Linked DNA regions of Drosophila melanogaster. The protein of the gene in region 1 interacts with the protein of each later gene in a biochemical or structural test. Each region holds a gene or a part of one and is shown in the gene's direction. Other genes may lie near its edges. The genes, in order: Tnpo-SR, Rbp1, B52 and SF2.

Region 1 (6,154 bases):
ATTAAGTACCTTTTTCGGATTGAAAATCGATTAGCCTTAGCAGATGCCTATTAAAAAAACGAATGATGAAATTCCGGGCTCTTCGTTGGGCAAATGAAGTTGAGCTACTTTTATATTCAAATTCAAATATAAGCGCAAAAATTTCTAAAAGTTTAAGAGCTTTTAAGTTTCATAAGCCATTTCTTTCATTTATTTCAACTTTTATTAAAATTATTCTCCATATTATTTAGTATCAAATTTAAGAATAAACGCCTAAAAAAGTTTATCTTTTAATTAAAATACAACTTTAATTTGATGCTATTGCACGAGTCATGATGATGCCAAGTACCTGGTGACCTTCAGTATGCACAAATGCTCGCCAGGAATGCGTCGCTCCATGAACTTAACAGCCCGGAACTGGAGGCCCTCTAAGTATTTGATAATCTCCTCCGGCTTGTTCTCCCGCAGCAGGAGTAGGTAGAGCACGCCTCGAGGCGAAAGAATGTCATCCAATTGCTTGAGTAGAATGTCCGTGACGCGTCGCCCGTCCTGTCCACCAGCCCAGGAGAAAACCAGATTGCGATCCGTTGAGGATTCGCTGTGCGAATCGAACTGTTGCGTCTGCAGCTCCTCGTCACTGGTGACTACATAGGGCGGATTGAAGAGCAGCACGTCCACGGATCGCGGACGCAGTGCATCCGCTAGGCTGCAGCGAATGCTATCCAAGCGAGCGCCATTCCGAGTCGCAGTTCTTCGAGTGGCATTGCAGGCTTTGGGATTGATATCCGTAGCTAGGCACAGCGAAAAGCCAGCCAGTTTCTTGGCCAGCGCCGTGATGATCACACCCGAACCGGAGCCCAGTTCGACGCAGAGACTCGGCTGTAGCCGGTCCAGGTACTCCAGATCCTTTTCCAGGGCATCCAGCAGCAGGAACGAGTCCTCCGCTGGCTCGTAAACGTGCTCGAAATCTTCTGGGCTCAAGTGGTCGGTGTAGGGCGTCTCCATGACGAACAGTAATTGGATTTAGGATATGTTGGTGCTGAGCGCGGAATCGAGAAGCGCCTGTCGCCGCCGCTGCTCCTTCTCTATCAGCTTGTGCAGACCCGTCAGCCGCTCCTGGCTGGTCACCAACACGTTGCTTATGACCGTCACCTTGTGCTTGACGTTCAGCAGCTCCTTCACCTTGTCCGCGAACTCGGGTATCTGACTCTGCGCCTTTTCGATGTCCCTCAGCTGGGCGGCCAGTGCATCCAGTTGGCCACGCAGCTCAGCCTGCAGCTGGATGGTGGAGGCCACGCGCTCGTCCAACCGCTCGATCGTCGGCTTGAAGAGATTGGTGATGCCCTCGGCGAGGATGTCGCGCGTGGGATTCGTGCAAAAGTTCTCCGTGTTCTCCTCCAAGGAAGTCACGGTGCTGTCCGAATCCATTGCAGAATTCTGATCAGAAAACTGATTAGAGATGTTGTTGCGAGCAACCAATGGTATCGATGTATCGACTACATAGGGGTGGCAAGTATTAAGATATAAAAACCGAGTAGCTTTATTGCTCAAAAAACGAATTCACATAAGCTAAAAAATATTTGACTGTAAAAATATTTTAATTATTTTTAATGGTCCTTAATGTTTGACGCACTTGACAACCCTGAATAATTTCAAAAAGTCCTGCAGACTATCGGACATTCACCTTTCAAAGTTATCGCATGCCACCTCCTTGCGTTATCGATACACGGGATGTACGCAATCAGCCATCGCTAATAAAGTATAATAATAAGTAATTAAGAAATTTTATGCGCTGATTAAAGCTGCCGATGAAATGGATACGTACTCGGTGGACGTGGTGTACCAAGCAATCAGCGCCCTCTTCCAAGGCAACAATCCCAAGGAGCAGGAGAAGGCCAACAAATGGCTCCAGGACTTCCAGAAGTCGGTGAGTGATAATCGCCCGGTGTACGAAACCTTCGTGCGATTGCTAAGTTTTTTTTTGGACTTCCTTAAAGATCTATTCTTGGACGATTGCGGACGAGCTGCTTCACCAGAAACGAGACCTGCACGCCAACTACTTTGCTGCGCAGACCATGCGGAACAAGATACAGAACTCCTTCAGCGAACTGCCACCGCACACGCACGAATCTCTGCGGGATTCACTGATCACACACATAGGCCAGATCGACGAGCAGACGGACAATGTGATTGTGACGCAGCTCAGTCTGGCGGTTGCCGATCTGGCCCTGCTGATGGCCAGCTGGCGGGAGCCGATCAACGATCTTCTGGTGACACTGGCGCCACATCAGTGCGCCATCTGGCCCCTGCTGGAGGTGCTCAAGGTGCTTCCCGAGGAAATAGACTCACGGTATCTGCGGCTGGGCGCCAATCGGCGCGAGGAGGTGCACAAGCAGCTGGACGCCAGCGCAGAGTGTGTCCTAAAGTTCCTGTGTATGTGCCTACAGCGGGAGGATCTCGACCAGCAGCGCGTGTGGAATGCGGCGTTGCGCACCTACAGTGCCTGGCTGGTGATCCATGCCTTTCCCGTCTCGCACGTGTACAACAACGCCCTCACACAGCTGGCCTTCCGGTTGCTCTCGCTGCCGGAGACCAGTGGAAAACTGCACGACAATGCCACCGAATGCGTGTGTGCGCTGCTCTCCTGCATAAACACACGACAGGATGGCGCCAGCGATCCGGAGTCCTCTTTCGAGGCACAACTCTTTGGAGCTGTCTGCATGCTGGAGACTCCCTATCACTTGAGTGTGGCGCACGAGGACACCGACAAGACGATCAACTACTGCCGAATTTTCACCTCGTTGTGCGATGCCTTCTTCTACGATTTATTGGCCGATGCCCAGAAGCCACACTACAGTTTGAAAGGACTGGATCTTGTGCTGCTTTGCGTCGGACACTTCGACTACGAGGTGGCCGAGATCACCTTCCACCTGTGGTACAAACTCTCCGAGGATCTATTCCAGCGCAACGAGGATAAGCTGACGGTTCTATTCCGGCCGCACATCGAGCGGCTGATCAGCGCCCTGTTTCGCCACTCGCAAATGGAGAGCGACCACGACGGGCTCATCGAGGAGAACAACAATTTCTTTGTGAGTGTGTGATATTGAGAAATTTTAGCAGTTTTCTTTGAAGTTGGGTATTTTAATTGAATAGGCATTTATGGCTAGAGTCGGTTTATTTAGAAATGAGTACAAGAAGTTTGATTAGTTTTCTACATTATCAACGTTAAATTAATATAATGCCTTGAAGTTAATTGTACTAATCTTAAAACAAATGAATTGCAGGACTTTCGACGCAAGGTCTCAGATCTAATAAAAGACGTGGCCTTCATAGTGGGATCTGGAGCGTGCTTCAAGCAAATGTTTCATATCCTGCAAGCTCCAGAAACTACGTGGGAGTCCACAGAGGCAGCACTGTTCATTATGCAGAACGTGGCCAAAAATATACTTCCGTACGTATGCAGCTGTTTATTACCATGTCAGATTTACAATACTTACCTTGCAGAGATGAGAACGAAGTGATCCCCAAGGTGGTGGAGGCGATTCTCAATATGTCGGAGCAAACGCACATAGCAGTTAGGTACACTGCGATTCTACTGATCGGCGAACTGTGCGACTGGATTGAGAACCATCCTGAATCGCTGGAGGCAGTCCTAAACTTTTTGCTGTACGCCCTGCAGCAGAAAAATGGCTTGGCGCCAGCTGCGGCCATTGCATTGACTTCCATTTGCTCCGCCTGCCGACAGAAGATGGTGTGCCATATAAGCGGTCTTGTGGAGATCGCCCGCAGTCTGGACAGCTTTCAAATAAACAACGATGTGGCAATAGGATTGCTAAAGGGCATATCGCTTATACTGACACGCCTGCCACGCGAGCAACTGCAGCCTGCTCTGCGGGAAATCGTCGGCTTCCAGCTGCAACCACTGGCACAATTGGTGGACAGCACTGGCAGTACTCCTCAAAAGGGAGAGCGCACCGATCCCGTTTACTGGATAGACCGCGCCTGCGCCATTATCCGACACACGAATCCAGACGTTCCCGACAACGTGGAGCACCCCACGGTAGCTATTCTGAACGACGCCTGGCAGCTGATATCGCGGGTGATGGATAAGTACCAGAGTGATCTGCGTATCATGGAGCGCACCTGCCGACTGATTCGCTACGGCATTCGGATGGTGAGAAAGCAAGCAATGATGCTGGTGGAACCGCTGATCAAACAAATGGTCGTGCTGTATTCTGTGCAGCACCACAGTTGCTTCCTCTACGTGGGTTCCATACTGGTGGACGAGTTCGCAAAGTCCAGCGAGTGCATTGGCGGACTTTTGGAGATGCTTCAGGCATTTATAGAGCCCACATTTGGCCTGCTTCAGATGGAGAACGGTCTAAAAAATAACCCCGACACAGTGGATGACTTCTTCCGTTTGGCATCGCGTTACCTGGACTGTTGTCCCCACCAGCTGCTCCAGAGCAGTCTCATCACGCCGATCTTCCAGTGTGCGCTAATAGCCTGCTCCTTGGACCACCGCGAGGCCAACTCGTCTGTGATGAAGTTCTTTATCAACCTGTTGGTTTGGGGCAGATCGAATAACCATAGCCGGAACACCGAGTGCCGTCCCTTGGTGGTGGAGCTGGCCAGTCAGCATGGCGGTGCTCTGGTGATGAACCTGATCCAGGCATCCGTCTTTCAGCTGCACTCCTACATGCTGGTGGATGTGGCCGAGGTGCTCCACGAACTGAAGCAGGTGGTGGGCAACGAGCGGATGCAGCCCTTCCTGGCCCAGGCGCTGGAGGCACTGCCCAAAAAGAACAGCGGTGGCTACGTGACAGCCACGCAGCAACAGCTGGACGAATTTAGCAGCACAGTTCTGAGGTGAGGATTTGCCATCAGACGTTTTGTATTTTATTCATAATATATTATATTTCCTTTTGTAGAGCGGACACAACGAAAGCCATTTCGCAAGCCTTGAAAACCTTCACGCGACTCTTTCGCTAATCAGGGAGATGCATGAGTTTGGATTCGGATGATTCTGTACATTTTGAATGATGTATGTAATGTGGCAAGGGTGCTAGGAATTTTGTTAAAAACGCACGTACCCCTCTATTTATAATATAGTTGAATCGATTGTTTGACGTAATAAGTTATATATAATTTGAATTGTACATTTTGAGTGCGGTCAAGAGATCCTCACAGAATTTAGCAGTAAGTTATTTACATCAGCGTGCACTCCTAGCTCTAAGTTTAAAACCTAAAATGACTCACAAACAAGCATAGGCATAAGGCAAACCATTAAATATATACCATTTAGATATAATTGACCACATTTGTTCTGCAAAACACTTGAGTATAATATTTATTTATTGAAAAAGCAATCACAAGACATTGGGCTGGAAGAAAAAAAAAACAAAAAAGTCTGGGAGCTGCGTTGTTCGTTTGACTTGTCTGATATTTCCGCAGGCTGATATGGAATTCTGGGCATGGATTTTGAGACACTGCGTCATGGACATTCGATGATGGATTTGTGAATTATGTACGTTGCACGGCTTAATCACAACTCCCACTGGGTACAAACTACAAACTAGACGATTGAAGAGATATCAAACAATACGTAACATGAAACATAAATATGCTTAGACTAACCTTTAAGTTACCAAAGCAGTACGTTACGAACAGAACCTTTTTGTTTCGAATTACATTTAGTCGCAATATTAATGTAAGCTATTAATAAGAACCAATTTTAGTTAAATTATTTGAAAATCTTTGATTTAGTTATAAAAATCTAACATTTTAATTTGAAAATCAGAGTTTTAAAATAACGAATTAAACATTTAGACGAAGAGACGTACATACTTTTTTTTTTTAATTGTTGTCTTAAATTGGTTATGCTTTGTGACACATTGTTCGCACGAACGGACTACTTTGGAGGACAAAGGGGGTACATATGGGCTCTACCTCAAAGGTTGATAAATACTTCTTTCACCTTAAAACTAATTGCACACATTATCTAATTGCACTTTTCGCCGGACAGCTAAAGACTACAGAACAAAATATTAAACTAATGGATGAAAATTGTAGCGGAGATTCACGATTCAAATTGTTTCAGTGCGAGGATCGATCTTGTGTATAGCCTGCATGAGGCTCTCGGTGTTCGCCGTGTTGATGCCCTGCTTGGACATGT
Region 2 (4,332 bases), on another chromosome or scaffold:
CATTGTAATTATCCAAATGCGTTCGCCCTCCTTCATAAGAGCATTCAGCAAACAGATTGTAGTTTTGCCTATGGAACCAATAGTTCTTGGCAGTGCTATTGGCACCAAGATCGAGGGTATTCAGCTGCAACACTCCGAAGTGGAACGTCCTACCGTCAGTCTGGACGCTCTGCACAACAATTGGTTTGGGAAGAGCTCCTACGGAATCCCCATGCAGTTGCTTTGCTCGAGCGGCTGCCACAACGAAAGCTTTGACCAGTGTCCTCGCCTGAAGCTGAGAAGTTGTGACCTCGGATCCGTGGGAGTTTTTGACTTGGTGTTTGTTAAACACCGTAAAGATGGTGTGCGGGTGGGAGCAGGTGATGTCCGAGCGCAAAGCTAAATGAATAACATTGTTAGTCATGCATCGGGTAGTACTTATTAAACAACTTACGATACAAGTTCTTAGCTTGGTAAATGTGGTACTTCGGAATCGATATAGTACTCTTCATGGGGTAAAGATCAGGCAGATCTCCTTCGAATTTTCCCTTAACACCTTCGATGGCTCGGTTGGCAAATACCACTTTTTCAGCATTGATTGAGAATCCTAGCAGATCCCCGTCTTTGCTTAAAAAAGTCTTAAAAGACGCGTTGTCTATCAGCTTCCTTCGAACAGAGACTGAACGGCCAGCCAGTTTTTCACTTTCATGCAGGAGTTTGTTTACCAACAGTCGGCTGAGGAGATATTATTATTTACTTATGTTATGATACAGTTTAAAGATATGATCTTACTTGACCCTTTCGTGTGATATTCCGTAGGAGCGGGGCAGGTTAAAGGCCGGCCTCTCCGGTAGCCTCACCTTGGGCAGCTTGACTTGCTCTGCATCAAGCACGTGGGATGCCAGAATCGCATGCCGGACACTCTTGTCTACGGAATTTGGCAACTGCTGACTTGCAATGGCATCCTCGATGTGCTTGGGAAATGTTTGGATCACAATGGAGTTGGTCAGCACCTGGGCCTGCGGCAATCCACCAATTAGCACGCTGTTGTCGGAGTAAGTGTTGCAAACTGTGGGGTGCCAGTCAGGGTGCCTGCTGTCCTCGGGAACGGGTTTTTCGCGTGCGCCAACAATGTCCACTCTGTAGGTAAAGTTAGATATGTTACCTTTTACCATCAGTACATATTTCCCATTAATACTCACAGTTTTTTTTCAACTTTGGCGTTCAAGAGATCCTCGGGATTCTTCACCAGAACACCTAGCTTCAGGAGCTCCGCCGCGGCGCCAGTTTCCTTGGGGACTCGCCTACCCTGGACCAGCCAGTGCTTCTTGAAATGCCAGCCGATGTGCTGGGCACAGAGAGTGTTCGTCAGCCTCATTTAAGTTAGGATTTGCTTATGTTTTCGTTCAATGAAATGAAGCCCGGCGGACTGGTTATGAAACTCAGTGCTGCCAGATGGTGAGAGAAATTCCCTGCCCCATCGGCAATAAATATTAGTGATGTGATCACTTCATCCACGGTTCAAGCTGTAAATCGTTACATCGTGATTTTTAATTTTATATGTATTCAATTTCTTGTATAAGGCCGTATAATTTAACAATTTTAGTGAATGAAATTGCAATATCTTATAATTGTTGTTTTTTTGGCACTTGTAATGGTTAGAGAAATATTATAAAAATATTTAATAACAAGAAAATGTAACATATCAGAAACTGGCGATAGCGATGTATCGGTTTTCGATGCCACCACTATTTCCGCGTCTGGTCACACTTTTCGGTAATTGTAATAAATAAAGGAAAGGCGGAGATTTTTGTTAAAATTTTAACAAAATTGGATGACATTTTAGAAGGTAAGTGTGGAAATTAGTGTTTATACAACAGCTCATTGCACGGATAATATAAGTAACCCGTATACTCGTGTTTTAGCCGCTTGCTCACCTCCCGCAATACTCACGATACCGCACCGCCCGACAAAAATGCCGCGATATAGGGAGTGGGACTTGGCCTGCAAGGTGTACGTGGGAAACCTGGGCTCCTCGGCGTCCAAGCACGAGATAGAAGGCGCATTTGCCAAATATGGACCCCTGCGAAACGTGTGGGTGGCCCGCAATCCACCAGGTTTCGCCTTTGTCGAATTTGAGGATCGCCGTGACGCGGAAGACGCAACGCGTGCCCTGGACGGAACACGCTGCTGCGGCACTAGGATTCGCGTAGAGATGTCTTCGGGTCGCTCGCGCGATCGCCGGCGCGGAGAAGGCGGCAGTAGTGGTCGCTCTGGTTCCGGACGCTACAGGTAATTCCACGACAAAAAAACTGTACTTCTCATGTTACTTGGCTCAATGTGTCTCCCAAATGGAACAATGGATCACTTGACTCCAAAAATTGGGTACTTTCTTCAGGTTTCTAAGCATATGATGGCGGTCTTGCCTGTAACCGTCAAAATTAATCAATCCTTATCAAAACGTATAAAATTTGTTATCGAAATTTCATTGGAATCGTCGCAAAAAACATTAATTGCGAATAGCAAACATGTACATTTTCCCGCCTTTTTCTGCACGTGATAGAACAGCCTTCGAAATGTCAGTTTTATGAGTACTTCTTCGCAGGCTGTTTTATTCATGTCCAACTGACATCACATCGCTATTCATAACATTTCTAATTAAAAATTGACTTGGTACTTTATTTAGACCAAACTTACAAACTGTATACATATATTATCTACGATCCAATCATTTAGTGGTTGTTAAATTCGAGTTATCGACACTTTTTCAGGATAACTCCTTCGGCTAGAACTACTTCCACTGCTACTTCTTCCTTCTACAACATCAACAATCTACAACAGCAACCATCTTCACAGCCACAGCCAGCAACCTTCAACTTGCAACTCTAAATTAACCATGTTCAGCGTCACAGCCTCACAGAAGTTTTGATTAGCAACCCAAATGATTTCATCCTAGAAGAAGCAATGCAGTCGCCCAAAGAGTTCTTTTTTAAAGTTATCCTGCGTATCCTTCAAATAATTGCTTACAATTATTTCTTTAATTTAGTTGCCTATGATATGAGGGTTCGTCCGCTTTCTCAAGTACTTGACTCTGATGTCGAGAAAACTGGCCTTGAACGCGTTTAACGCTGATGATCACAGCTACTATAGATTTGTTCGACCATTTTCTTATTGCATATGTATCCGACAAAGTAGAAAGCTTTAAACTCTAATTATAGGATATCAGTTGGTAATAGATAGTAAATGTAATTGCAGCAGCTAAATGTAATAGCAGCATTAGCAATAATACTCTTATCTTAATTGGTTCACAGCTTAATTCATAGAAACAAAACAGTTTGCACAGCTTTCATTTTTGTTCCCCCTGGTAATTAGTTTAAGTAACTATTTAGCAGTATTTAACACTCCTATTTTGCAGCTCTTTGTAAGGCGCGTATGTACATACACTTCTTACCATTCTAAGCTGATTTAAATAATTTTATTAAGCTTTTAAGTAATCATTTCTTCTTTACCAATGCGTTTATTTCAGGTCACGTTCGCCACGTCGCTCCCGATCGCCCCGCAGCCGCAGCTTCTCGCGCGATCGTCGAAGTCGCTCGGATTCTCGGGATCGTCATTAATGTTTCCAAAAGGATATCGTTTAAGCAGTGTCGCATCAAAGAACAAGCCGGCCAAGGCCGTATTTTCTGTAGGAATTCCTATGTCGATTGCGATCCAAGTAAATTTACTTCAGATGACAATATAAATCTTTCGATGCATTCTTGAAATTCCTTTTTTTTTTTTACTAAAAAATAAAGACGCACAATCAGCGAGTTTTGATTGGTTTCATATATCATCAAAAACAGTTTGTTTCCAGCAAAAGGGGACGTGCTTAGTGCACTGTTTATTATGTGAGAATTGACGTGCTGCTGTACAACTTGCTTAGAAGTATGTTCGAATAATAATTTAAACAGGCGCACGAGTGTAAAATATTATGTATACTAACAAAGGTACACTTTAAACTTAGGAGAAGACGCAACACGAATTCGTTGCACATTTCGCACTGGAATAAACCTTACGTCTAGTCATTGTATGTATCCTCGCTGCAGGGCTCTGAGCCCCATCCCAAATGGCAGATCGGATTGGTTATGGCTGCCCCTAGCGCATGCGGTATGTGTTCGACTCCTGAATTTGAGACAATTCGCCCTTGAAATTAATGTCGATGACGAAGTCCAGGTCACGGTTGTTCCGCTCGTTGGGCTTCATCTGGAACGTGCCAGTGATCTCCTCGTTCTTCTTTGCCGTCATGTGGTCATCGAGGTAGAACACGGTTTGCTTCCAATGCGTGTATGTGGAGTCTGGTGACGTACTGAACCC
Region 3 (7,897 bases), on another chromosome or scaffold:
TTGTGTGGCCTGGCATTCTGCGCATTGTCGATCATGTACGACTGGGAGTACGTGATGAAACCGAAGCCGCGAGAGCGCTTCGTCTTGGGATCCTTCATCACCACCACGTCGACAATGTTGCCCCACTTCTCGAAGTGAGCCTTCAGGCCATCATCTGTGGTGCGGTAGTCCAGTCCGCCGATGAACAGTTTGCGCAGCTGCTCTGGCTCGGTGATCTGCGGGTGAATTTCAAATGCATTAGCTAAAGACGTTCTATAATTTAAATAATTTCTAAAAACAAAAAAAAAACCCATTGATTCGAAAATAAGTTGTAATATTAAATTAAATTAATTGATTTCTTTGGACAAACTTTGCGAAAAATGTATAAATTTATATAATAAAAAAAAAAATCATACTGTATCTAAATGAATAAATGTATAAAAAATATTTAAATGTATAATAAGTTGCTGTAAATTTAATAAAAAAATAAGTTGCTGTCAATAAGTCAATAAGTTTATGTCAATAAAACGATAAAAGTGCAAAATCATCCTTGATCAACAAGGATTTGCCATTGTTTATAATAGTAATTTACCTGGCGAGAAAAAGCCGCTCGCCATATTTTTTTTTTTTTTTTTTAGTATTTGCACCGCCATGACAGCCCGTATATGTGTATGTATGTATGAATTTTCGTTTTCTTTTTTATCAAACAGCCGGCAACTTTTTTATCGGAAATTGCTTATATTTCTCGCCAAAAGAGGTCGATAAACTTTTAGCTGGCTAAATTCGCACAGGGATCGATGGCCCCCATAATTCGGTAAAAAAGCGGCGTGAATGTATATTATACACGAATATTGTCGGCGTCGACATTTTGCACTTTCACGCGCGATGAACGATTTACAAACAGCAATTGGTCATTCTGCAACTCACCTCTTCACCATCGTCGTAGTTTCCGTTGGAATCGTTTTGTTCCGCCATTCTCTCCTTGGTTGTTCAAGAAGATGGAAAGTTTAAACACCGAACGCAGGAAATATTTTTTTTGTTTTTGTTCTTTTTTGACGGCAGACTGGCAATAAATGAAATGTACAGCACGCACAATGAGAATGGAGTGAGCAGTATGACCAGGTGTCGAGAACGGGGTAAAGTCGGAAAATCGGACGCCACGTGGAATCGGAACGATTGTTTCGGTGCGTTAGGGGTGTTCCTCGACAATTAAGCTGATGCCACACTTGATTTTATATATCTTCATATAAATTTGTATTCGTCTAGTAAGGGCTTAAAAATATTAGACAAGTTTATTGTATATATTTCTGAACAAACGGATTTGAATGTATTATCTTTATAAATGGATTATGATAATTACTACCACGATAACCCAAGAAACATTTAATATGTTTAACTTTTTAGCTAAATATGTATTATTATTAATACCGCTTACATAACTCTTTCTGCGAGCATTCGCTTTAGCTGGGGCGATGGAAGGCTTCACTTTAAGAGATAACTTGTAAATTATTTTGTATTGAATTGTATATTTGTAAGTAGCCAGCTAAGGGTCAATCAATATTACAATTACGGGATCTATGAGGCATTTGGGAATAAAAAAAGACATCGTGCGAAATAAATTAATAAATCCAGAAACATTTTATGTATATCATCAAATCAGAAACGTTAAAAAATGCTAATGAGTGCTTGCTAGCAGATATCAAAATAAAAAGGTTGTTAACAGTATATTCAAATGCTACTACTAAGTATATTTAATGTTTATTCTTTTCATAGCGGAACACGAACAGCAACTGGAATACCCTTAACGCAGCGAAACGCATTGCCCGCCCAAAATATCGATAGGCGAAAAAGTATCGTTCCATTCCGCCTTTGGAATGACTGTCAAACATCGCTTTCGTCTGTCACTTTCACTTCCGTTTGTGTCGAGTCGCTTGCGTTTTTTCGTGTGGGAAAGCCTGAAAAAGAGAGAGTACGGCAGCGACTTAATTGTAAATTTGCCACAAATATCCTTCACTGAACGGTACGTGCTAGTGAGTACGCTTAAGTGAAGAACAGCGCGTATTTCGCGTTGTTAAATTAACTCGTTTTTGCAGCGGTTCTGTACACCCGGTACATTGCGAGCGTGTGTGTGTGTATGTGGTGGCCGCCATCTTGGCGAAACATACACGGCGCGTACATATGTGCGTTTTTTTTTTCTTCCATTCCTAAAGGACAGTCGAGCAAAATAGAAGCTGCAAACTGCAACGGTTCCCTTGCTGATATATATATATATACTTCACTATTTTATAGCACCTGCTCCAGATACGTAAGGAACCGTTATCATGGTGGGATCTCGAGTGTATGTGGGCGGTCTGCCCTACGGAGTGCGCGAGCGCGATTTGGAGCGCTTTTTCAAAGGCTACGGCCGCACACGCGACATCCTCATCAAAAATGGCTACGGCTTTGTGGTGAGTACAAAATATCATATTTAACTGGAATATGTAAAAAAAAAAAATCGGTTAAATTTGATTTGAAGACATTTCTGCATTTCTCTGTTTGTCTATAGGTTTCCTAACATTTCAAGCCGACCCTTGAATACTTTTTTTTTCTTTTTGAACCTATATTTGTTCCATCATTTGTCTGTCAAATACAGTGACGCTTAAAAACTGTTCTTAAATTCACCCAGCGTATTTCCATAAGAGTATGCACAGGCAGGGTAGCTTCAATACTAATTCCATAATCAATACTAATCACTAATTGAATTTTCAGGAATTCGAAGACTATCGTGATGCCGACGATGCCGTCTATGAACTGAATGGCAAAGAGCTGCTTGGCGAACGGTGAGTTGTTAGATATAAGCCAAAGTACGAAATGACTCACGATTGTATGTTCTATATTTTTGCAGTGTGGTTGTTGAACCCGCCAGGGGTACCGCTCGTGGCAGCAACCGCGACCGCTACGACGATCGATATGGTGGTCGGCGGGGGGGCGGGGGCGGTCGTTACAACGAAAAGTAAGTAGTACTGCCAGCGGACCTTAAAACCGGACCAAAGTAGCGACGATATCGTCCTCCAACTTTGTTTGCGTTGAAGTTTGCCCTAGAATTAGCACTGCCAATTTGTTTCGTTTGATATCTCCATCCACACAGATGCAACCAGCTTAGATCGTGCAAAATCTATATACCTATAATATTAGCTACTTGCGATATATATAAAAAACATCAGTTTATTATATATTGACTTCTATAGTTTTATACACTTTTGGTAGTGCAATCGTATAAGCTGATTTCTTCTGCGTGGAAGGGAACCAAAAGACACTGACTTGCTGTTAATATTATCATTTCCAAGACGCTCCGTTTTCCTATGCATACTATTGTTGCTTTTATTTGCACGTTCCACCCATCCGCATAGTATGTAAAATGTTTGATTTGTTGCGCATAACCCAAATGTAAATATGCATATGCTGGAATATATTCACCATTACCGTTAATTTTTGTGATGGAGCATCAGGAGCAGCAGCGCAGTGTCAATACTAATTAGCGAATCCATTCAATTATTCACCAGAAACAAAAATTCCAGATCATCCTCTCGTTATGGCCCACCGTTGCGCACTGAGTACCGACTGATTGTGGAGAATTTGTCTAGCCGCGTTAGCTGGCAGGTAAGTGAGCATGGATCGATGTATCGCGCCTTGGGCGTGGTATATACTGTAGCTTAGATTCGAGGAGTGTAGTACTAGAATTAAAACGGCTAACCGACTGAAATGGATCACTATTACAAACACCCATTAATCAACTTACCCATCCCAGAACCAACCTTTTCGAGCCCCTTTTTGATTTCGAATTACTTTCCGGTGTCTTCGTCCTGTTTTGTGTTTTAACTCCTCCTCCACTCTGACTAGAGCCAATTCTATAATCTGTAATCTAGCCCTAAGCTGTACAGTTGACCTAGACTTAAGTGAAACACGAAAACAAAAGATATTGCTAAAACCCTGGTACTGATCGGTGTAATCTACCCACCATTACTTTCTCTTGCACACACCAACCGAAACCGATAATAAAAAGAGTTTGATGTGCTTTGACTGAGAGATTCCCTCCTCGGCTTGGGGCCGAATCTAAAACTGAAAGAGAATCAAATCTAATTGAATCGCTGTGAGAAAGACAAGCTAGTCTAGTGACCGACCGACCGGTTCAGAATGTTACCCAAAAACCAAGATGCGGTGGAAGACAGAGTGAGACAGTACCCAGAGCCGCCCCAGATTGGTTTCGATATGCGAACTACGATCTGCAACCTACGACCGACCTCCACGAAGCGCCATCGCCGCCGCCTCATCCATTCGTCGTCTATTCCAAATAAAACATAATATAGAACACATAACGAAATGAACAAGTCGATCAGAATCGAACCCAAAACTGAATGCAAAATCGAAATCAGAAAGCAGACGATGACGATGGACGTTGATGAGCTGCCCGGGTCAAAAGGCCAGCCCACGTATTAAAGCCCACACTGATTGAAAAGACGTGGGCTGGCCTCTTGCGTTAGGTATTTAACTCTCTGCTAAAAACATTCACAATTTTAATTACCAACAATATTATATAAAGAATTGTCAAATTCCTTATAGCCATTGTGAGTGTGATGAGGGTGCGAATCGAATCAATCGAGTGTGGTTAGATGAGAAGCTTGCGTTCGCTAATTCTAAGATGATGTGATGGTCTTGGCGACGATGAGGGATGAGCATATGACGATGATCGATCGATGACGATGACACGATGCTGCGATGCTGGTCGCGCGTTCAGTTACCAACTTCGGCTAGTGCCTCCGAACTTATTCCTTCCCCCCATTCCCGGTTCTTCTGGCTTCCGGCTGCGGCTCTGGCTTATGGCTGCGGCTCCGGCAAACGGCATACGGCTACCTGCCCCGTCTCCGGCTGAGACTACCGACTAGACAACCACCAACCCAACCCGTTGGAGAAGCGAGAGCAGCGTCCCGAAACGTATTTCTTATTTTTGCAGTTCGTTTGTGCGTGAGGTGCCGATGCCGCTGGTTGTTGTCCGCCTCTGACCGGCAAACTGCTCCAAATGCTCCATTCTCTGGCTCTCTGGTGCGGTGGTTCTGGCCAGCGATGTCTGCTCTGATCTGATCTGACCTCCTCCTGACTGTATCCGGTGTGTGGCTTCCTCCGAAACGAAACGAAAACAGCTACCGCAACACTTGAATACCTTTTTGCCATTTATAATATGATTCTGTTGTACATGAAAAACATAACAAAACTGTGTACTTGGTGGTACGTACGTGGCCAAATGAAAACGAATACCAAATCCAAACAAACAAAACGTAACGAGCTCTGGCCATCCATCCGCTCATCCGCCTGCCTGGCCACTGGTTCTCTTCTGGCTGACTGGTTGAGTTAACGATGTTCGATCGGACTTTCGATGAGGTCATGAGGTGTCCTTGGTGTCATTGGCCCACAGTTACTAGGCAGACAATCTAAACTCTCGGTGTAGAAACGATGTGTGTGTCCTCCTCTCTCTGAAAGCGCATTAAGTAAGAATTCAATTACAACTATTTTGTTAACTTTAATTTATTTCCAAACCAAATCAACTCAATCTATATATATATATATATATCTACTATCAATTGCCAACCACTGTTAACTATGATTGTTTACGCTTAAGTTTTGTGCCGCGTGCAGCGTGGAGTGTTTGAATGTTGTGTTCGGTACGTTCTGGGCACCTCCTCCTTCTTTTTTCCTGGCCAAGCGAAATCCTTCGTCCGGAGTGAGGTTCTCGGTTTCCACACGTAGGCAGGCGCGACAAGAGCACAGGATAGACGAACACAGGGCACTGAGTGAGAGAGAGAGAGGGACTTGTGAGAGGCTGGGACTTGGTTAGGAGCCCCAAATAATACCGAAAACATTCAAAATGCTCCATCTGCTGCACGGGCTGTCCTTTGAGTTGCAACCACTGCCGTCGGATGTGCGATGTCGAAATGTGCGAGACATCTGCCAAAGCTGAAACTTACTAATTACTATCTTTTCGTTCCGACTTTGTGCGTCCCTGCAGGATCTCAAGGATTACATGCGCCAGGCTGGCGAGGTCACCTATGCCGATGCCCACAAGCAGCGTCGCAATGAGGGGTATGTTTGAAAATGGTTGAAATTATTTTACATACAACCAACTACAATTGTGTTCCTTTGCAGCGTGGTTGAGTTCGCCTCGTTGTCGGACATGAAGACGGCCATTGAGAAGTTGGATGACACCGAGCTAAACGGCAGGCGGATCCACTTGGTCGAGGATCGTCGCGGAGGACGCAGCGGTGGTGGCGGCGGCAGCGGACGTGGACGCTCCCGTTCGTCCAGCTCCCGATCGCGCTCCCGATCCCGCAGGCGTTCTCGCTCTCGCCGCTCGTCGCACTCGCGCTCCAAGTCTCGCAGCCGCTCCAAATCTCGTGGCGGACGCTCCAAGTCCAAGTCGCCAGTCAAGTCTCGTTCTCGCTCCCGCTCGCGATCCAAGTAAGTAGAGAGAGAATAAAGTCTGGTAGGGATCGTACTTAATCACAAATTCTTTGTGATATATGCTTTAATATTAATATTATATAGATTTTACACGATAGAAAATATTAATTACGATCCTCCCTGGCTTTTTACTTCATATGATTGCCCACTAATTAATTACTTCACTACTTCCGCTGCAGCAAATCGCGTGACGTGTCCAAGTCCAAGTCAAAGTCCCACTCCCGCACCCGCTCCCGTTCGCCCAAACGTGAGCGTGACTCCCGTTCCCGATCGCGGTCCGTCTCGAAGCGCGAGTCCCGTTCCCGCTCACGTTCCAAGTCCATCCACCGCGACTCCCGTTCACGGTAAGTTTGGCCACAGTGCGATGACCATGGCTCCATATTATTATAGACCGTTCACGATTCTTTCTTTCGTGCTTTCTTTGGTTTTGTTTGGATGCACCTGTTTGTAGCCCGCCAACGGTGGTCGTTCAAAAGCTCGTTCTATAGTTCACTACAATGCCTTTCTTTTGCAGCGATCGATCCGCATCGGCTGAAAACAAGTCGCGTTCGCGCTCACGCTCCCGTTCGGCCTCGCCCAAAAATGGAAACGCCTCACCGGACCGCAATAACGAGAGCATGGACGATTAGATTAGTTAGCTGTCCCATTAATATTAAAACACTTGATTTTAGACTTCTACTATAACTATTCTACAAACATCAACACTCAGACACCCCGACTACAACCAAAACTTAATGAATATGAAATCATACCAATCCACCACTGTCGGGCCTCGTCATTTTCTTTTAAATATATAACGACAATTTGTCCTAAGTCTTGTTGTGGACATGGGACATTGGCTGGAAGATGACAGGGATCGGCTGAATGTGCCGATTTGGATTCAAGGAGTACATATAGGCCACGAAATTACTGCGACTTGTACACCGGAACACTTAAAATTGTCTATACAATGAGTAATTTCAATAAATACGGATAAATTTAAACTATAAATGTTTGCTCGCTGGTTTCACTTCAAAAAGGATATAAAGTACTTCGACGATTTTAATCATATAAAGTTAGTTTATTGTTTTTCTTTTTTGTTGTCGTAATTTCGGAATATAAGTATATTACAAAGTCTTAGTTTCACTATTTCGCATTATTTGCCTGAATTAAAATTACAATTTCATTTGATTTTATTTATCTTGAATTTGAAGAACGCCAATGATAATTTTGACACCTCATTGGCTGAAATATATCCTAGTTAAATATTTAAAATTTGAAAATGAATTAGCAATCTAAAATCAAATGCATAACTAAGTTTTATAAACTGACAAAGTTTTGGTTCTAACAATATATATCGTTTGTGTTTTGCTTTTAAAGTAATTACTTGTACGAATTAAGTACACTATTATATACAAAGCACATAGGGATAAAAGAGATTTTTTCT
Region 4 (5,493 bases), on another chromosome or scaffold:
CACCAACTGCGAATTGGTGGTGCTGGTATGTGGAGATCTAATAATTTGCTGAGAGGTCACTTGTGCCGTATTTGGAAGTTGGGTAAGCGGTTGTTGCGGCGCCAGAAATTGATTTTGCGTCACCGTAGTGCCCTGGAAGGCGCTTCCTGGATTGCCCAATGTTTGCGGTGTCAGTTGCAGAGTAGCCGGAATTGATGTTGGTGTCAGCTGCATGATTGGCTGGCCATCCGCAGTGGCCAGCTGAGGCTGAAGTTTCATCTGTACTTGGTATGTCGTGGGCAACACTAGGTTCTTGGTGTCTATGTGCGCCACGATCTGCTGATCCGAATTCTCGTCCCGAATGGTGATAGGCAGAAAGCACTTGTTTGGTGACAGCAGGTTGGTTGTCGACTGCGGACCCGCCAGGCTGGAGAGCAGGGCAGCAGCATTTAGCTGCGTCTGGGCAGGAACTGTCCCTGCACTTGTCACTCCTCCGCTACCTGGCATCAACTGCAGCTGTATTTGCGGCTGACTGCCACCGAATTGCGGCATTGAAGTGGTGAACTGGGGCGCTGTAGGCGAAGAGAGCACAAAGTTCAACTTTGGCTTTTTACTGTCGCCAGAACTTGACGTATCATCCTGAGCGACGGAGTACTGTGTGGTAGCCTGCAGCTGGTTGGTCAGTTGCTGTAGTTGTTGCTGAAGCTGAAGTTGTTGAATCTGCTGCCACAAAGGCTGCAGTTGATCGCCTAGCTGCGGTTGTAACTGCAACTGAGTAGGGTTTATGGTAGGCGTTACTGTCTGGGACTGCAGAGAATGTTGCTGCTGGGGCTTGGCAGGCGATATGGGCTCCTTTTTCCCCAGCGGCGTTATCTTGATGTCAGGCTTGAGGCGTATAAACTCTTCCAAAGCACTAAGTGGATAGAATGTTATTGAGATGATTTTCATGAAAGTGAATTCCCACTCACGTCTGTCTTTCGCTTTTTATTTGAACTTCCGGCATAGCTTGATGCTGCTGCTGCTGCTGCTGTACCCCGTTGTCCATCGTTATGGTGTACTGCTGCTGGGGCTGCATGTTTACCGCCTGGATTATGCTGTTCAAGAGATTTCCGGACTGCTGAGCTCCATTAGGAACTGGTGGAGCTGACTGCGCCACACTGAGGCTCTTCCCAGTTTCATCGACCGCATCCCGAATGTATAGCTTGTCGCTGCTTGGCGCCGGGCGAATATTGAGACAGTTGTTTAGCATGGTCTGTGAGTTACGGCAAGTGGCGCGAAGTCCGTGGATTTGCTCCACCAACTGCACACACTGGGCGCACACCACTTTGGGCAAGCGATCCTTTTCATCGATCTGCAAGAAGTATGGGTTTGTTAGCCAAAAGTAATGGGAGATTGATGCACTAGCACGACCTGCAGTGAGAGACACTCGAGTATCTTTTGGCTCAGATTCTTGGCGCGTCCCTCGGGTGAGTAGATGTTCGTCTTGTGATCGCTGCTGTCCGTGCAGATGCGACACAGGTCGTAGTAGTTAATGCAGCGAACGTTGCTTCCGGCCGCAGCCATTTTTCCGGTGGCTCAGTGGTTTTCGAAATGCTATTTATGTTTAGTGTATTGCACATGCAAATATTTGTTGTCTTTTCTTCGACTGAACGACGCTTAGTGGTGACACTGCGCGAATACATTGCAGCTCGGCGTGATTGGCAATAACTATCGGTAAATTATAATATAAATGAAAGGAACGACATTATGTTTACCCTGCCTTATAACCTTTAACCGAGGAAATTCCACAAACTTCTTAATTTATTTCATTCTAATAACTTATTCATTCTAATTCCCAACTAAGCGAAGTAAGTACTTACAGGGTAGCTATCGATATAAGCAACGAAACTTCCACCTATAGTTTCGTATCAACGTTATAATTATCGATAACTACTGTGCACCCAAGGGATTTACCCAACTCGAACTAACGGTCATACTGCGTCGGCCATTTGTCATTGTGAGCGTGACAAAAATAAGTTCTCTGAAAATCGAAATAGATCGAAGCGTCTGATTTAAACTGGAGAAAATGGGATCACGCAACGAGTGCCGTATATATGTGGGCAACCTTCCCCCAGATATACGCACCAAGGATATCCAGGACCTGTTCCACAAGTTCGGCAAAGTAACTTTCGTCGATCTGAAAAATCGGCGTGGGCCGCCATTTGCTTTTGTTGAGTTCGAAGATGCGCGGTGAGTAATGCGAATACACACAGCTGGCCCAGCGCCCCGGCTAAGACACCCAACTAATTCGCGACAACTGCTTCTCTTCCTTCCTTGACCATGGTCCATATCCTCCGGCTGCCTCTTGGCCCAATTTAGGGATGCCGACGATGCGGTGAAGGCGCGCGACGGCTACGACTACGATGGGTATCGTCTGCGCGTGGAGTTCCCGCGGGGCGGTGGTCCTGGAAGCTACCGCGGCGGCAACCGCAATGACCGAAGCCGCGACGGTGGGGGACGGATGGGCGGACGCGGACCGCCAGCCAAGCGCTCGCAGTACCGCGTCATGGTTACTGGACTGCCCGCCTCCGGATCGTGGCAAGATCTCAAGGATCACATGCGCGAGGCCGGCGACGTCTGCTTCGCGGACACTTACAAGGATGGTTCCGGCGTCGTTGAGTTCCTGCGCCACGAGGACATGAAGTACGCAATCAAAAAATTGGACGACTCTCGCTTCCGATCGCATGAGGTATGTAAATTGTCCAGTTCCAACTTTGTAAAATTCAAATGTATTCGGGTTTCAAGGTAGAGAATTTACTTTTGCATTTATTTTGTCAGCATACATTATTCACAGGCTGGAATAATTAAATATGATTTCAGGAATAACATTAAGTTATATTGGTGTAGATGCTTACACTTACGCCCTTAAATGTGTCAATTTGATAAACATCTAGTTCACATTCCTGTTTACATTTTGAAAAATAGTTTGGCGACATTATTCAAATGATATTAATATTTTTATTGTCTTTAGGGCGAGGTTGCCTACATTCGCGTACGCGAGGATAGCGGTGATAACGACAGAGGCGGTGGTGGTGGCGGCAGCGGTGGAGGTGGTGGCGGCAGCGGCGGAGGTGGAAGCCGTGACTACCGCGACAGGTAAACCAAATATTACCACAGTTCATTTTTCAATATTTATTCTATGAATCCCTCCACAGATCCCGTTCGCGCTCATTCTCGTCGAGGCCGCGCCGTCGTGGCACTCCCACATACTCCCCAGTGCGACGTCAATCTTATTCCAGGTCTCGCTCACGTTCTAACTATTAAACACAACCAAGCATTATCCATTAATCTATAATATTTTAATGAGCAGGAAACAGGAAAAGCAAGCTATATTAGGAAATACCAATCAATATTTGTTCAAGACCCCTCAAATACCCCAATTGTAAATTGATTTGTAAAATGAAATCAACGACCAATCAAGTTTGTTCAGTCAAGTTCCGAACTCTCACCGAAGCCAACATACTTAAAAAAGAAAAACACTTGCTTTTCCAACTTATCACACGTTCTAAGAAGCAGAAATGTTCTCTTAAGTTATAATCCACCGGGCAAAATTTGACAAAAACAGTTCTAAAATGACAACTGTAAACCAAGGAATTCTCTTTGGCCAAAAGCACTCGGCATTCCTTGATTTGCTTTTGATTATCTTTTGAGCCTTTGCTCAGTCTGCTTCCTACATATTATATTATAACTCTTATTTTGGCTGCACGTTTTCCAAGCTAATTTATTAGAATCTACCTTAACGAAAACAAGAAACATCGATACAGAATAAATATGTTTGTAATGAGATAAAGAAAAGAAACAGAAATCCGAACACAACGCAATGTCAACCACATTGATAAGCAAACTATTAATACTTTAATTTTTATTTTCTTCTCTTCCCCATTTTGCGCGTTTATGTTTGGAGAGTGATGAGGATGTGGAGGATGAGGATTAATGGATGTGGAGGAGGATATTTTGATGTTGATTTTGGCGTGGATTGGATAAATTTGGATTGAATTTAGTGGAGGCAGGACCTGTCTATAGATCTTATAAATATGAAAATATTTATTTGATTGTAATCAGGATTGGATTTGGATTTAGGATTGTTCTGAGCCCTTCGCTAGGACAACGTGGGATGCAGTGTCCCATGGCTAACTCGCACCTCGGAGGAGGAGGAGACAGGAATTTCGCATTGTTGAAGGATTTTATGTGTGAACTTTGGTCGTGTTCAGGTTAACGGATGTTTGGAGGAGGAGAATGTCGATGGCATCGTTGACGGTGAGGAACACTTGCGTTGCCCTTGGACAGGACTAAATCATACAGTTTCGGACTCGGCCGCATCTCTTCGAGCCTCGCCCCTTCTTCGGCATCTGCCTAACGGTCGGGATTAGGATTCGCTTGGACAGGCTCACACGCTTTGTTGTCGCCTTCTTTGGATCGCACTTCAGAAACTAGCTCACCCAGGGAACCGCGTATTTCGTGGCCTTCGCGCCCCTGTCGTTGTCATTTCACGGATTTGCTGTGCATCATCCAACGTTGACTTGCGCCCAACGCTGGATAGTGGATAGTGGTTCTTGGTCTGGTCCGATCCGATGCGTTCCGGTCTCCCTCTGTCTCGCCTCTCTGTGGTATGTTAGATTGCCACATCAAATTTAACTTTTAATTTGCGTTATTTAGTTTATAATTTATATACTCTTTACCCAAATCTTTCGTCTCCATTGATATTGTTGCCTCTGAAATGTGGCGATTGTCGCGTGTGCGTTTTGTTTTTCATTTTTTTTGAATAGAAGGGCGAAAATTCATAGGCCCCGACTATAGCCCACACCCGCATCATTTGCATGAACTTTCGTTAACCTAATAAAAAGTAATACCACAGCAATTTTGGAACAGAACAGTTCTCTCGTTCTCCTTGCTTATCGATCAACATATAAGCCATAGTTCTAACATATTTTTGAAATGAAATACACATTTACAATAAATATTCATAAAAATTAAGAAAAATGTCATGCTTTTAATACAACATTATAAGATGGGTGCAATCAAATACTTTTAGCAATTTATCTTGCTGAGATTATGAGCTTAAAATTAGACTGCTAGACTCGTGTAGCAGGTATTTGTGTTTATGGGATGTTCCTGTACTTATGAAGATTACAAATTAAGTTTGCTTGTATTATCTGCAGGAAAGACTTCTGTTCTGGATTTCACAACCTTTGCATTCCGAATCAATTTTAAACTTCCCGCTTATGGATTTTTACAGAGGACTGTTATTAGGGCAATGATGACCGTATTGTTTTAACGCAAAATACCAGATTTCTCTGTGCGAAAAACGATTTTTGGTCACTTTGCAGCACGGCCACACTGGCAAACAAACTATATAAGCAACACGCGCATTTTGTTGTTGGGTTTTTCAAAAAATATTCACCAGCTGTTCGGACGCGCGTGGGAACTGCTCTGTGTTTGTTGTTTTTTATAATTTCGAACGGAACGAACTGGTCG

The links.
Region 2: the proteins of Tnpo-SR (region 1) and Rbp1 interact in far-western blotting, tested with the Drosophila melanogaster proteins (one study listed by BioGRID).
Region 3: the proteins of Tnpo-SR (region 1) and B52 interact in far-western blotting, tested with the Drosophila melanogaster proteins (one study listed by BioGRID).
Region 4: the proteins of Tnpo-SR (region 1) and SF2 interact in far-western blotting, tested with the Drosophila melanogaster proteins (one study listed by BioGRID).

What each region holds. Positions count from the first base shown.
Region 1 is NT_033779.5:2,758,241-2,764,394, forward strand, and holds Tnpo-SR (Transportin-Serine/Arginine rich), read left to right. Parts: upstream 1-1,683; 5' UTR 1,684-1,792; coding exon 1,793-1,906; intron 1,907-1,976; coding exon 1,977-3,068; intron 3,069-3,263; coding exon 3,264-3,430; intron 3,431-3,483; coding exon 3,484-4,848; intron 4,849-4,910; coding exon 4,911-4,971; 3' UTR 4,972-5,649; downstream 5,650-6,154. Other genes in the region: HemK2 (HemK methyltransferase 2), read right to left, coding at 310-984; Snapin (SNAP associated protein), read right to left, coding at 1,003-1,407; Snx21 (sorting nexin 21), read right to left, coding at 6,066-6,154.
Region 2 is NT_033777.3:10,782,653-10,786,984, forward strand, and holds Rbp1 (RNA-binding protein 1), read left to right. Parts: upstream 1-1,730; 5' UTR 1,731-1,828; intron 1,829-1,904; 5' UTR 1,905-1,954; coding exon 1,955-2,271; intron 2,272-2,750; coding exon 2,751-2,868; 3' UTR 2,869-3,505; coding exon of another isoform or gene 3,506-3,596; 3' UTR 3,597-3,813; downstream 3,814-4,332. Other genes in the region: mRpL37 (mitochondrial ribosomal protein L37), read right to left, coding at 1-378, 434-714, 772-1,119, 1,182-1,357; Art1 (arginine methyltransferase 1), read right to left, coding at 4,114-4,332. UniProt on the Drosophila melanogaster protein: Contributes to the activation of female-specific DSX splicing in vivo by recognizing the RBP1 target sequences within the purine-rich polypyrimidine tract of the female-specific 3' splice site.
Region 3 is NT_033777.3:13,659,434-13,667,330, forward strand, and holds B52 (B52), read left to right. Parts: upstream 1-1,877; 5' UTR 1,878-2,009; exon of another isoform or gene 2,010-2,268; 5' UTR 2,269-2,300; coding exon 2,301-2,426; intron 2,427-2,727; coding exon 2,728-2,798; intron 2,799-2,863; coding exon 2,864-2,971; intron 2,972-3,521; coding exon 3,522-3,618; coding exon of another isoform or gene 3,619-3,675; exon of another isoform or gene 3,676-4,021; coding exon of another isoform or gene 4,022-4,042; exon of another isoform or gene 4,043-6,019; coding exon 6,020-6,093; intron 6,094-6,156; coding exon 6,157-6,468; intron 6,469-6,650; coding exon 6,651-6,815; intron 6,816-6,922; coding exon of another isoform or gene 6,923-6,959; exon of another isoform or gene 6,960-6,985; coding exon 6,986-7,100; 3' UTR 7,101-7,458; downstream 7,459-7,897. Other genes in the region: Hrb87F (heterogeneous nuclear ribonucleoprotein at 87F), read right to left, coding at 1-215, 907-954. UniProt on the Drosophila melanogaster protein: Essential for development. May have a critical role in splicing or in controlling alternative splice site use of at least some pre-mRNA in vivo. Not required for all splicing. May play a general role in the condensation or decondensation of chromatin.
Region 4 is NT_033777.3:16,338,443-16,343,935, reverse strand, and holds SF2 (splicing factor 2), read left to right. Parts: upstream 1-1,947; 5' UTR 1,948-2,044; coding exon 2,045-2,208; intron 2,209-2,337; coding exon 2,338-2,707; intron 2,708-2,989; coding exon 2,990-3,114; intron 3,115-3,173; coding exon 3,174-3,282; 3' UTR 3,283-4,993; downstream 4,994-5,493. Other genes in the region: pad (poils au dos), read right to left, coding at 1-892, 948-1,330, 1,390-1,542.